Linked DNA regions of Drosophila melanogaster. Changing the gene in region 2 together with the main gene of any one other region gives a genetic interaction. Each region holds a gene or a part of one and is shown on either strand. Other genes may lie near its edges.

Region 1 (8,014 bases), on a different chromosome or scaffold from region 2:
TTTAGCTTTACGAGTAGTTTTGTTAAGTGTTTTCCTTGGTTTAAGAGTTAATTTAATTCGAAAGCGACTTCAACTATGGGGTAAACATGCACACACTCATTGAAATTTTTGCAACTTACAATTAACCATTTGCTAAAATCGAATCCGAGTTCATATTATACAAATATTGAATATCTCTGCGTGTACGCAATATACATATACATATATCTGATGTAATTTAGTTATCGAGTGCTCGCTTCGGCCGGAAATCAGCGCAATGTCTTAGTTTATATACAGGAACTTAGAAGGTATCAAAGGACACGACACGACGAACATTATACGACAAAATTTATCCTAGACTGCGGAGTGTGTCTTCTTGTTTGCGGAGCTGTGAGGGGTCCGAAAATTGTTAAACAATTTCAATTTGTGTTTCAAGAACATTTATCTGGGTCTAAAATGTGTTCTGCTGCTCAGCCTAACTCAGCCGCCTTGTGGCCGCTCTTAATTGGATAGGTATGGTAAAATCTACTACTCGAACGCGTGTATTCATAATTTATGCGGGGTTATATTCACTGACGTTTAAGTATATTCATATTCATAATTTATAGTTCGGAAAATTCATAGTGCTCGCCTAGGCTAATGAGAGCGTTGAGAGAAATACGTACATACATATATTTTCGTACAGTTGCGAATTTCAAGTGCATCTGCTACTGCTGCTGCTTACTCTTCATCTTACTCGTATCTATATTCAACTACCGAACTAAGCTGCATTATCGTGTTGGGGCTTGGATCTCTGGGATCCGTAGAACTGACTTAATAATAAACTGCATTTGCATCAACGTCGGTTGGTCACACATCAGCGACGCCTGCGCACTTCTGGGCAGTTGCTCATCCACATCCTTGCTCCTCATTGTGGTCACATATTCCTATCCCGCATGCTAGAGATCTCTGGTTTTTGTACATTTAACCGACTGAACTCGGCCTGGCTGGAATCGCCCTTCCAATCGCTGGACTAGCATGGAAAGTCCATGGCCAGCTCGTTCTTGATTAGATGATGGTGATTCGGATCGGACATGGGGTTGGGATTCGAGCTGGGGTTACCCGAACTCGGATTGGCTAACTGCTAGTAGGTGGCAAAGCCCATGGCGCCAGCGCTGCTGTTGTCCAAGGGTCACTGGTGCATCTTGGCGGCATGGTGACCCATGTTCAGGCTAAGGTTCAGGTGGTGGCCGCTGTGGTGCTGCTGGGTCGCCTGCGCGTGGTTGTGGTTGCTGCTCGAATTGTTGTTGTTGTTCTGCTGATTGGCCTGGCGCTGTGAGTTCTTCTTGTTCTTCATGCGCCGATTCTGGAACCATATCTTGACCTGAAAGGAACGCCTGTTTAATGAATTCAGTTCAAGTCAGTAGGTTTATGGACTCACCTGTCGCTCGGTCAGCTGCAAATTTCTGGCCAATTCCCAGCGCTTTTGCTTGGAAACATACGCATTGAAAAGAAACTCCTTCTCCAGCTCCAGGGTCTGGAACTTCGAGTACGGCTTGCGCTTTTTCCGGACGGACACCTGACCGGTCCACTCGTGCAGTCCGGGATTGGGCGTGCAAGGACCCACTGCTCCCACGGATAATCCACCAGAGGCTCCTGAAAACATCATCAAGTAATGGGGTTAAACTACATGGTTAACTTCATTAAACCGCAAGTGCGGGTGGTCCGATGGTTTTGTTGCTCGGTGTTCGGTGCAATATCAGATCGTTAAGTTTATAGAGCAATTACGGAAATTGTTTAGCAATAAGCGTAATACGAAATTATTCAATTCCTCATTTATGGCCTCTTAATTGGTGCGGTACGGGGAGCGGAGCTCCGAATTGGCATGAGGCCCATATTCACACTCGAGTGGATAACACTAAATGAATACATTCGTTCCCGCTCATTGGCCGACCAAATGAAGCAATTAAATTAATGTTGAAATAAAGTGACAAGTTGGATTTATTTTAATTTAAACGCTAGTTCAGCACGAGTGAAGAGCTTTTCGAATCTAATCTGATTTCTTCGATTAGTCTTGGTAGCATTGAACAGTTAGGACAGTTAGGTCAGATTGGAAATTAATTATCGAGCCTAAGAGACCTGAATTCCAATTGTAAAATTGGCTGGCGAGGTCACTTAACTGACATATTCCGCCATAATAACGAGTCTTTACTATGGATACCATGGATACTACTGGGAAAATATGACTAGTCGACAGATACAATTCTGGCAGTTGAAAAACACCTGGTGATAAGACACGAACATAAACAGGCAACCCCATAGAATGCAAACCCCAATGACTTTCGCACCCACATAAAGGCGTAACGCTAGCCAAATAGCGAGTATCGATTTATGGGCCGTTTTGCACTACGCTAATTGAACGACAAACTTGACGGTTTCGCAATTTGCTATTTCAACCGATACGACGACGAAAAGTCTAGTGCACATAGGAAAATCAAATAATCTTGAACTTTATATTGTAGGATGCTTAATATTTTAGGGCTGTTTAAATAATTGGCTTGGCTTTTAGGAAAAAAAATAATAGCACCATATAAAAAACACTTCCAAATAATTATCGATTCATTGGAAAATTTGACGGTCTATAAATATATATTTTACAATTAAAAACATTTAGGTGGAATTTGAACGCCTCTTTTTAAACAGAATTTTGAATTCGTATAATTTTTCACTTTAATTTAATTTCATATGAATAACCAAATATTTTATTAAAAATTTTAAGAATTGTAAACAGTAAATTTTTAATTTTTAATCTTTAAAATTTCTCCTCCCAAACTAGAGTTGCAAGATGCTCAAAATTATTTCCAGTGTGCCTAACCTCGTTACCCTTAAGTGTGCCGACTCTGGCCGGTCTGGACTCACCTGAGCTGGAGTAGTTCTCGCTGGGATAGCCGCGCAGGCCGCCTGGCGAGGAGTAGGTGGGCGGCTCATAGCTGGACGTCGATGTGCCCTCGACGGACTGTCGGGCGGCGGCGCTCACGTGGCGCTCCGCTTCGTTCATGTAGGCCGCCGCCGCTGCGGCAGAGGTGGTCTGATCGGGGCGGTAGTTGGGGCCCCAGTACTGCTGCGGGGGAGAAATGAGGTCGGGTTGGAACGAAGTTGCTTACAACTGATGTGGAGGCGTGGGTGGCGCTGTGGCCATACTTACACCAACCGGAAACTGCGTTTCTGGGTAAGGATAGGCGAACATGTGCTTGCGGTCGTAGTACCCGGAGCCGTAATGCTGATTGAATCCCTCGTCGTTGTAGGCCCAGTGTGCCGTGTGCCGCTTGACCGCCGCCGAGGTGTCCGTCTCGAATCCCGGACCGGCCCGGATGGCGGGTATATGCAGTGGCGCTAATTGTATGGACATATTGATGTCTGAAAGTAAACGATAAGCGCAGATTTGCTGCTGTTAATATTGGCACTAGGGCTGGTAAGTCTAATTTTAACGACTGTCTATGATCAAATCGACCTCCTTGATCATTTGGCATTTTATCACTTGGCGTGGCATTTGTGCCTATAACCCTTAGATTGTTTGTCGATGTCATGGATGTGGGTGCATTCACACCTCGTCTATATATAAATCTGTATATTTAACACGTGTCAACACTTAAGGTAATAAAATGGTTACCATAACGATTACGTTTCAAATCATCGTTTAATTTTTTTTTTTGTGTAAACTCTTTAAAAAAAAACCAATGCAGTTTTGAAGAACTTCAGTACACTCACAAACAATATTTTTAAAAATTTTTAATTTCCTTACAAAATTAAAGTTGTTACCACCCTGCAATTATATAGTCTATAATGATAAAACAGACGCAAATATTTTGAGTAAATAAATTAAATGCGTGACGATTCCTGGGAGAGTTAAAGAAAAGCCTTATCAGCCTTGAAAAACGTGCTGCAATCAGCACAACTGAAACGTTATTGCAACTGGGGGGAAAAAAAAACAAGTGGAACGACCCCGTTCCCAATTTAACGTCCCCAATTTATTTCGAGAGTTTTCCAGTTCAGATGTAGAAAATTTCAAAAAATATATTTCCCAACGATCTTTGAAAGCCCATAACCAATGGAGTTCCAATAAGAAATCCGCTGGTTTTCAACCCCAAGGAAAGTTATATTTCTGGGACCTCACCTTCCTTCTGAGAACTAACACTGGAGGGAGAAACACTCGCCGTGGTCGGCGCAACGATCTGCGTCTGGCCAGGAGCAACTGCAGCATTCTGCTGTTGCTGCTGCTGCTGGAGATTCGAGGAGGCGCCGCTGGCGACACTGTTCGGGGTTTGTTGCTGCGGCAGTTGCTGGTGGTGGGGCGATGTGAGATGTTGCTGTTGTTGGGCGGAGGGTCCAGTGGGTGTTTGGGCAGGACTGAGGGCGCCGGCCACCGGTGTTGTCGCCAGCTGTTGTTGCTGCTGTTGCTGCTGCTGTTGAAGTTGCTGCTGCTGCTGCGGAGCGGGGAGGTGTTGCTGCTGTACGGCGACAAGTGGCACAGGCGGAGGATCCTCGTACATAACCGCATGCGTGGGCGTGGAATGTGTGGTGGGAGTTGACTGCTGTTGCTGCTGCTGGAGCACCGAGGAGGGTGAGGAGGCGACGACTGCATGTTGCTGCTGCTGTTGCTGCTGCTGCAGGTGGGGATGCGCGCTGTGGTGATGGCTGGTGGTGTGGAGAGGCTGAGGCAGGTGGTGGTGCGCATGGTGATGCAGTTGCTGCAGATGCTGCTGCTGCTCCTGCAGATGCTGCTGCTCCTGCTGCTGCTGCTGCTGTTGCTGCTGCTGCAGATGGTGCTGCTGCATGACGGGCAGGGAGGGATGCGCCTGGGGATGCGGATGCGGGTGCGGGGCGGTGGGTACGTGGGTGTGGGTGTGTGTGTGATGCCCCCACCACGCCCCGGCAGCGGCGTGCGACCCGACTGCCGAGACATCGTGGGGGTCGTAGAGAGCGCACGCCAGCGGGATGGTTGGGGTTTGGGGGAGGGGTGGAATATTTACGGTTATCTTGGACGCGTTGCACTCGAACTGCGGCGGCGAGGATAAAGGCGGTGCAGTGGGGTCGATCGCCTCGACCCACCGACCTTTCTCTGTCTTTTTTTTCTCACTCCTCTGAGTGACGCCTTTCTAATTGTTTAAGTCTCTTTATATTTTTTTCGCGACTTAATAATTTTTATTTTTAATATTCAGAGCACCTTTACTCGAGTTTTGCCCCTTTTATTTGCGTACCGCACACGCACACAAACGTCCGTCAGCGGTCACACGCACACGCCGACTTACTCACACACGCACACTGCCTAAAGAGCGGGCGAAGAGAGTAACTTTGTTGTTGCACAGGGGATCGAATCAGCTTGAATTTCACAGGGTGCTTGCGGTCGTCAGCAACTCACGCAGTATTTTCAAATTGGCTTTTTTCAGTTTTCATTCGGTCAATCCAATTTTCCAAAACTTTTCCAATTTTTCCTTTGTCAGTTAATGTTTTCTTTTCACTTTTCTTTTTTTTTCGGTTGGCGTTTGTTTTTGATTTTCTTCTCTCTTTTATAATTATCATAAATAGTTTATTATTTGTGGGGCCTGCAGTCGTTGTTGTTGCTGCTGCTGGCGTTCGCTTTTTATGTTGCTGGTCATAAAATTTGATTTTACGACCAAAACAAACAATTAAAGGCAATGTTTGCAACAGTTAACAAAAATGTTATTATTTCTCCTCACAACGCCGGCGACACGATGTTTTGATTGTGTTTTTTGTTTTTTGATTTAATTTTTTATACGACTCCAAAAACGTTTCTTCTTTCAGTTAAATTTTTCGAAAATGTTCAACTTGTATTTTTCGAACCGTTCGAACGAAACACTCCCAGTCGAATGTGAATGTGAATGGACGGCGAGTACGAAATCGTTCAAGTCCCAGTCCTCGACGAAGTTGCAGGGCCGCTTGCCTCGGCTGTTGTTGTAGTTGCTGTTGTTGCTGCTGGACGCCCGCGCGCCTTCCAACCGAACAGAGCGAAGCACAAATCTACACTGACGGCAGCAACGCGCACGGCGACAACATATCCACATCGCTGGCACGGCACACCGACAACACAAGACCAAGACCAGAACCAGAACCAGCACACGAACACAAACTCTAAGCGCAGCGGCGCCAGCCCGCTCCAGTGTGTGTGTGTGTGTGTGTGTGTGTGTGTGTGTGTGTGCCTCCCCGTCCGTGTGACTTGGAAGAGAGCGCGGACATGCGCATGTTGCACAAGCACTCAGATTGATGGTGGTGGTGGTTGATGTTATGTTGATGGCAGTTGGTGCGGCTCTCTTGTGGCGCGTTATGCACACGTACACTGTATACAGCGTCTGTGTGGATCCCAGACTGTCAGCGAGTGTGCGTGTGTAAGTGGGGGGAGCCGAAGAGAGTTTTGGATGTTGCTGGGGGAAATAGCACTGTTTCAACTAGCGCCTTCAATGAGGTAAAGATGGTATCGCACTTCGACTGGGACTGGCTCTGGAATTCGCTGAGCTCAGCAGGTGCTCCAAGTCACAGGGGGTCATCGAGGGCGAAACACACACGCACAGTGTACGTGTGAAGGCATCCGCTCTTCAACGAACAAAAAACGCTCTCAGACTCACCGCCCGCTCTTACTGCCCGATTCTGGGGGCTGATTTGAATACTTAACACGCGCGCACCACAGCGCCATCTATGTCCGAGATTTCGATGGAATGGGGGCGGGGAGGCGTGGTAGATGGCACCACATTGTGTGTAGTTAGTTGGCTTGTTGTTGGCGCTTTTTATCGATTACCACAACAGCAGCAACATACAGAAAAACTCACTGCATAAAGACCATGGATCGCGACCAATTATACGAGTCGTCAAGCGCAGTGACTAATTAATGCTAATTAGTTAAACAAATACATGCGTGCGCCAGTTCAGTCAGCAAATTATGACAGCCCAATTGTTAGGAAACCCCGGGTCTCTTTTCACCCCTATCTCAACATCCTTTCTCCCTTTTGGCTCTTCTACAGATTCCCCTCCTTGTCTCACTTCCAAAGGCAGTTGCCAAATTTTACGCTGCAATGGACAATTATGGGAATTTTATGGCAATTGCCATTGGAAGAAAAGCAAAAGGCACGCAGTCGAGGCCAAGGAAATGTTAACAAATCGTAAAAAGGATGCGATGAGAACAACTCTCAACCCGTTTGACAACAAAATGTATGTACAATCGCATAAAAATCCATACTTAGCAATTACAATAATACATTTGAGCAGGGGCTTAAGAAAATGTCAGAAGTCATCGCGACTGGAGACGAATAATATTATTTCTTATGTGAAATCAGAACATTCATTTTTAATTTTTCACATCACGCATTTAGTTGAAGAGTCCAACTGCTTACATAACAAAGTTGATCAAGTAAACCCCAAAAAAACTTCAAGAATTCTACTTATAATAATACAAAACTTGTAATTAACTGCCGCAATCTATTTCCAAAAATAACTTCTTCGATTGAAATTATTATTCAACTTTTTTATTTATAAATAGAAATAAAGTATGATTGACATTTTTCCTATTGAACCACTCTGCTAACACGCAGAATTATTTTAAAGGGATAAACTCTCTGCACAATAGCATTTTATAATTATTAGTAGCATTTTAACGCCTTAATATTACATATTTAAATACATATCTGGCTTAAACCGGACTAATTATAATTTTAGCTTACCTGTGGGATGGGAACTGACGCTGGAGGGAGAAATGCTCGCCGCTGTCGGCGCAACGAGGTGGTTTTGGCCGGACGCCACCGCTGAGATTTGTTGCTGGGGTGGTGCTTGGTGGGTCTGCACCGCTGCTGAATGGGGATGGATCTACTCCACCGGTTTGCTCACTTCCAGTGACGCGTTCTGCAAAAAAAAAAAGATGCAGAAACTTGGTAAGTAAACCACAGCAAGGGCCATCAATAAGGACCGCCTGTAACCAGGCGCCACTCATCATCGCTGGCTATTTTCTCCGGCCTGTAAGGAAAAAAGTAAGAAGAGCCTAAAGATGCCG
Region 2 (6,719 bases):
GCATGGCCAAGTCATTGTTGTTGCCATGCTGATTAGCGGTATGTGGTGGGAGGGGAGTCCCTGGAAAGGTAAATAAACAATATGGCGGCGTAGGCTTACCTTGGTCCAGCAAATCAAGCGATTGGTATCGGCATCGTCCACCAGGCGCCACAATTTGGCCAAAAAGGCCGGCACCCCGCTTCCGATGGCCGCGGCGTCTCCGTAAGAGTGCATTCTCCTGGAAGGCAGCTGCTCCTCCTCGTCTTCTTCCTCTTCCTCCGATTCGTGCTTGAACTGCACGGCTTTAGCGGATGAACGCGACCTGGACATAAAGTGACCAGCAGCCTGGAAAGGAGTACTACTCAATGAATTCACTGCACACCAACACCAACACAAACGCTTTTTTTCCAGTTTACAGTTCACTTTTCCACGCCGCTGTATGTGTGTGTGTTTAAGTGTGTGTATGGGTGCGGGAATCAGTGTGCGTGTCCAGGTACACCATACATATGTAAAATGTACATATGGGTACAATTTTGATGTGAAAGTTGCAGCTCTGATCGAATCGAATGTTTTCGGTTGCAGCCAAGTGCGTCATTCGAGCCACCAACTTGCACAAATGGAGCTCCAGTTCTTCTTCTCCTGCTCAACCTACTTACCTTAACAATTTTGCAGCTCACAAACCTTTCGCGAAGTGAAAAACTCGCGTTTTACTTGTTTAGTTTAGTTATTACACTTCACTTTCTTGGCGTACCGCTTTTGTTTTACACAGTTCTTCGGTTTTTAAGTGCTTTTTCGCGTTTTATTCACAAGTGAAAATTTAATGAAACCTCCGTCAAGTAAAATTGCTTCTGTTCGCAGCGTGACCAATTTGGTAAAAACCTATCGAACTAAAGTTCGCTGCTATATATACCATTGCTAGCTGTCTGCTTGGTCCTCTGGTTTTTATCTAGTATTTTCTGGCGCGCAACTTCGTATTCATATAATTGACCCCAATTACTAGATGATCATTATACTAAAAACTTATCAAATTCTGTTATTTGTTTTTAAAGCTAGTATTGATATGTGTACCCATAACATTAATTGATAGGCAACTGTCGATTTTAATACGGCAGACCAAAGGATAGGGATTTTAGTATTTGGTATTTTCTATTTGATATCTTTAAGATAATTATGAGTTAAAATTAAAATTAGTTGGTTTGATTTTAGATAAGTTGTACATAAAAGCATACAAAGGGCATACTTACTAAAAAAATTAACATTCATTTTGAAATTTCTATAGGATTTACTTTGACAATCAAAAAGTTTTACCTTAATATAAATGTTAGTTTTATTTTTTTTAATTTGATTTAATAATTGTCACTCTACATTTAAAATGTAAATTATGTATGATATTAACGTTTTTGAATCTTTAGGAAATATTTAAATGTATTTTCTAGTATTTTCCAGGACGAGACCGCTGAGTCTTTGCCGGCACAGTGGGGATAATTAAGTAAATTTATGGTATATTTTATACGTTTCGATATATTTAAAAATATAAAAATGTAAAATTGTGGTGACAAATTTCCAATATTTCTTTATTTATTTTAATCAAGTTAATTTTATTACCATAACATACATAAGTTGTGGTAGATTTATATATGAAAATGTAACGAAAAGAACAATTGTTGGATGCGGTCACACTGGTGGGCATATGTTGAAAAATGGCTGACACAAATTAATTTTCAAGTGATTTGTTTTGTGCATTTTCGCTGGTGTTAAAGATGAACTTGGGACAACGACGTTCAAAGCCGATAGCCGAATCAATAAGAGCAAAATGCTAATTTAATGCACGATTCGAAACACACTTAAAGGTGGGTAAATCGGCAACCGAAACTAGAAGTGCCTGTGGTGCGTGTGGAAAAGTACGAATGAGGAAGACACAGAGAATACAAAAGGGCCCGCTCTCCAGTCCGTATGTGTAGCAAAAGTGTGCATGTATGTGTCGGCGGGCAACAACAAATTCGACGAAAAAGGCGCCAGATTAATGAGCTCGTGTTAATCAGCGGGAAACAATCGCAAAATCAATGAAAAAACGGGCCGCGAAAAGCCGGCAAATCGAACTGAAGATCCATATTTTTCACAAAAGACTGCGCACTGGAAAAATCAACGCATCTAGCACGCACACACAGCCGCAATGATGAACAACCATTTTCACTTGCAACACGATCATCCACCGCAGAACGTGGCACATCCGTTCATGCAACAGCCGAGTACCGCTGTCCCATCAGCTCCTCCGGCCACCTACGGCTACTTAGCACAGCCAGCTGGCCAGCAGCCGCAGTGGATGACGACCACCTACCAGATCCTGCCGCCCAGCGTAGGACCTGCCACGGTGGCCAAGCGATACTATGCCACCACTGGGCCGCAGACCACGCATCCCACACATCCCAGCACCATCCAGATCACGAACAGTTTCGCTCAGCAATCAACGCCACCGAAGCAACAGGCGGCAACAAGCTGCAGCCCATTCAAGGCCAACAACATACGAATCATCTCGACGGCGCCAAGTGTATACAGTCTGAATAAGCCGCCACAGGAAGCGCACTCCACATATGCTCCCGTTCAGTCGTACTACTTGCCCAGTGGCGGTGGCCAAACTGCGGGACAAATCAATCTACTGGCGGCCAGCGGAACTGGCAAGCAACTGCAGCCGCCGCCGCTGGTGCCTGTGACCAATTCCACCTCACCGCCCTCCACCGTCGTGTTAGACCGCATAAACATTTGCATCAATAACCACTATACGGAGACGCCCACTTCGCTAAGTTCATCGCTTACCACGGCCCAACAACCTTCGCCCATCATACCGGCCATCCAGCACAAGGCCATCCTGCCCCTCATCGACAGCAGCACGGCGGATAGCAGCAGCTGCAGCAGCAGTTCTGTATCCAGCAGCAGTTATAGTGGTACCGCGACCACCTCAGCAGCAGTTGTGATTGTGGATGAGCCGGATTCTACGACCACAACGCCACAGACACCGCCAACTACGCCGGAGGCCATGAGTTCACCCGGTAAAAGTTCGCCCTCGCCTCCGCTACTAGCCACGCAATCGCTGCTCAAAGGCGTCAACTCAATGAAGCCAAGCTTCAAGACCGTCGAAGCAGCACCGCCAACGCCGCCAACACCTCCATCACCACCACCACCGCCGCCGGCACCACCAGTTGCCGCTCCCTCGCCAGCGGTCACGTATGCGCTTCAGGAGGACGTCTTCATCAAATGCAACGATGGCAGATTTTACCTGGGCACCATTATTGACCAGACAAGCGATCAATATCTTATCCGCTTTGATGACCAGTCGGAGCAATGGTGTGAACCGGATAAGCTGCGCAAGCTAGGTGGCGGTAGCTCGATTACCGCTGGCGGAGGCGGTGCCTCTACCACGGAATCCACGAATACCTCCCCCAGTGGACCCATGTGCGTGGCCTGCAAGCGATCGGATATCGAAGATGTGGTCGAAATTTGCGAGCGCTGCGGACGTGGCTACCATCGTGGTTGCACCGTTGAAATTGTTACTGGCAGTGGAATTTGGAGTTGCAAACGCTGCGCTAAACCCATGAAAATGCAACAGCCTGTCAGCCATAAGATCACAAAACCAGCGGGAATTTGTCGCCAGTTGCCCTACCATGTGAGTATTCTACGAACCCAAGCCAGCGGATTAGATTCTTAATCCGGTTTTACCCACAGGCGGATAAGCTCAGCTGGGATGAGAAGCATCGGGTCAACGAAGAGCAGATCTACTGCTACTGCGGCAAACCGGGAAAATTCGATCACAATATGCTGCAGTGCTGCAAATGTCGGAACTGGTTCCACACCCAATGCATGCAGAACTTCAAGAAGAAGCTGCTGCGCGGCGATATGTACGTATTCAATTGCTTTACTGTGATCTAAACTGAAATGAATCTCATTGTCTAGGTTCTTTGTTTTCTGCTGCACGGTCTGCAACAATGGCATAGAATTCGTTCGTCGTATGCAAATCGAATGGGTGGATGTGCTCCACATTGCACTATACAATCTGCGAAAGCATCAGCACCAGAAGTACCATCACCTGCTAAATGACATTTGGCCCTTCATACTCGAGCAGCGCCACCAGCTGCCTATCTGCGAGAAGTGGCGCACACTGCCCGAAACGGCACTGATGGAGCGTCTCAAGCAAACCCTTAAGGATTACTCTGACAGATTTGTTTGCGGCAGGGAGTTTAAAAGGGCTCCGGCCTTCTATGCACTGAGACACAGTGGCCCGCCACACATTCCCAAGGTATTCCTTGAGCCCCACGAGGAGCTGTCCGATGAGCTGCTCGAAAAAAGATTTAAACTAATGCTCATGCCCGAGGAGCCTGATGAAGGTGCCAACGAGCTTCCGAAAAGAGTTCCCAAAGATGTGTATGAGTTTAATACAGATGAAGATGACCCAGTCGAGACCAGCGAGGACGAAATACCCATCAAACAGATTATTGAGAAGGCCAAAAAGCAGGCCGCTCAGAAGGCCGATAAGCATGATGAGTTGCCACTGAAGCCGGACCTCGCCGACGACAATGCCAACGATGGCGATCCCGGCAAACTACCAGCTCCCATTCCACCTCTGCTGGACGCAAACAGCAGTCGGAAGCGCAAGGCTTTCCGATTGTCCAAACGCTATGACAACAGCCGCAATCACTGTGATCTATCATCCGACGAGAATTCAAGCAGCAGTCGGGGAACCAGTTCGTTGGACCTCATCATACCACCGCCGGTCAACTTTTTGGGACGCAACAATCCATTCCTTATGGCCACTCCCAAAAAGGCGTCGCAGGGACGAAGTATTTCTGTGGGAACTGGAGTCGGAGTAAATGGCATCATAAACAGCATTTTCAAGCTTAAGGGCACCTCCAAGGAGCAGCCGCGCATGGTGCGCACCATCAAGCGAAGACTGAGTGCCAAAGACATTACGATAGGGCCCAATCAGGAAGTGCGCAGACGACGCACTCGCCGCCTGACCACGGCCATTGAGGTAAGAGTTTAACTAACAACAATGTAACTATAATGTTTGAGATGTTTTTTTCGTTTCCACTTAATAGGTCATCAGCACCACCACCATCAATCCCATACCCAGCCACTACCTTCCTATCTATGCCAAAGATCTGCAGCCACCCGCGCCGCCAATGGGAAAGCCGACACATGGGCGCCTGTTGCGCCAGCGACCACAGAAGCAGTCACCCAGCCAAAGCCGCCGGAACTCCACCAGCTCGACGGCAACCAGCAGCAGCAGCAACGGCATTGGAGCCCCAGGACATTCCATGCTGGACTTGAAGCAGTCGGTGAACAAGTACTTTGGTGGCGCTATGAATCGCATAGATGCTGGTGAGCCCTTTGCCATTCGGGCCAAGCGGCGCATGGGAAATGGACAGGTCCAGTACCTGGTGGAGTGGGGCGGAGATACAGCGACAACGGCGATTGGATTGCTTGGAAATTGAACCCTTTGGCATACCGACTCATTATGAATTTTATATTCTTCATTTCCATTATCATTTCTTTTCGTTATTATGTATTAATGAACGCTGCCAACTACGGGCCTCTTTATTTGTTAATGTTTAAAAGTTTATTACCAACCCACTGCCAAAATAGAAAAAGATTGTTCAAAATATTGGTTCAGCATTAAAGCGATAAAATGTTAAATTGTAAAAAAAAAAAACGAAAAAAAAGCAAAAAGCAACTGAATACAGGTTATAATTGTGCAATGGCAGTTAAGTGTTGCAGCAGAACATAAATAAGTTTTCACAAAATTGGTAAAAGTATTACAAGATTAATCTGGAAGCCTATGTAAAATTCGCTGATGAATGAAAACGTATTAAATAATGAGAACAATTCAGTTAAGTTCAGTACTGTACTTTAGCGATACGCCACGCCCATGTATGTTTTTGAAAAATATACCTTCAAATGGGAAAACTCACAAATCATGTCATGCATACAAAAAAAAAACAATTGATATACATACATACACACAAATTTAATAAAATGTAGGACTAGTTCAATAATTTTCACCCATAGTCTAGGCAAAACTACACAATAATGAATTAAGCCAGTACGTTTTATGTTTAACTATTAAATGCTACGAAAAATCAAAATTGAGTTGAAAGCAAACTAATTCTCAAGCCAAGTAAATGTTTGGCCAAACCAGATCGAAATATGTTTAATGAAGTATATAATGCCCAAATAAATGTTTCCGAAATGTCAAATCTTTTAAGATTTTACTCAGGACACGCCAGTAGGCGCCCAAAGTGACACTTCGCTTTGAAGCTTGTCAGGCACCGACGCCTCACACCGCTTCATTAGGTACTCGATCGCCAGATAGGGCACATGCACCAGACGTTCAAAACGGGAAAAAGAAAAAAAAAATTATCCTCAGCCATCCTTGAATGTGGTCTATTTCGTAAAAACAAAAACACAAAAAAAAAACTTAAAAAATTCTTCAATCTCTGTAGTGCCGATTTCCATCGAGAACGAAAAGAAGTACTCAAGCACTTCTCGGAGTGTCGACTTGCAGCCTCATCGCTTTATTCTCTGATTTAGGTAAGTTCGCACAGTGGGGAATTACAAAGATGGGATTCGGTTTTCGGAGCATACGCTAATATCTGTGCAGTGCCAAAAAATCATTTTCTAAAAGTCTACGCTCATTTTTAAAAGAAAAAAAAACTGCATTCCTAATTTTGGATTGTGTTTTATGAGAC

Evidence for each region.
Region 1: of Pcl (region 2) and Abd-B, changing one enhances a phenotype caused by changing the other (phenotypic enhancement), as found in Drosophila melanogaster (2 studies listed by BioGRID).

What each region holds. Positions count from the first base shown.
Region 1 is NT_033777.3:16,928,239-16,936,252, forward strand, and holds the start of Abd-B (abdominal B), read right to left. Parts: upstream 6,005-8,014; 5' UTR 4,794-6,004; coding exon 4,133-4,793; intron 3,376-4,132; coding exon 3,164-3,375; intron 3,080-3,163; coding exon 2,878-3,079; intron 1,615-2,877; coding exon 1,400-1,614; intron 1,343-1,399; coding exon 1,151-1,342; coding exon of another isoform or gene 992-1,150; 3' UTR 1-991. UniProt on the Drosophila melanogaster protein: Sequence-specific transcription factor which is part of a developmental regulatory system that provides cells with specific positional identities on the anterior-posterior axis.
Region 2 is NT_033778.4:18,133,772-18,140,490, forward strand, and holds Pcl (polycomblike), read left to right. Parts: upstream 1-1,654; 5' UTR 1,655-2,152; coding exon 2,153-3,640; intron 3,641-3,699; coding exon 3,700-3,872; intron 3,873-3,927; coding exon 3,928-5,002; intron 5,003-5,069; coding exon 5,070-5,465; 3' UTR 5,466-6,219; downstream 6,220-6,719. Other genes in the region: Hsf (heat shock factor), read right to left, coding at 100-309. UniProt on the Drosophila melanogaster protein: Polycomb group (PcG) protein.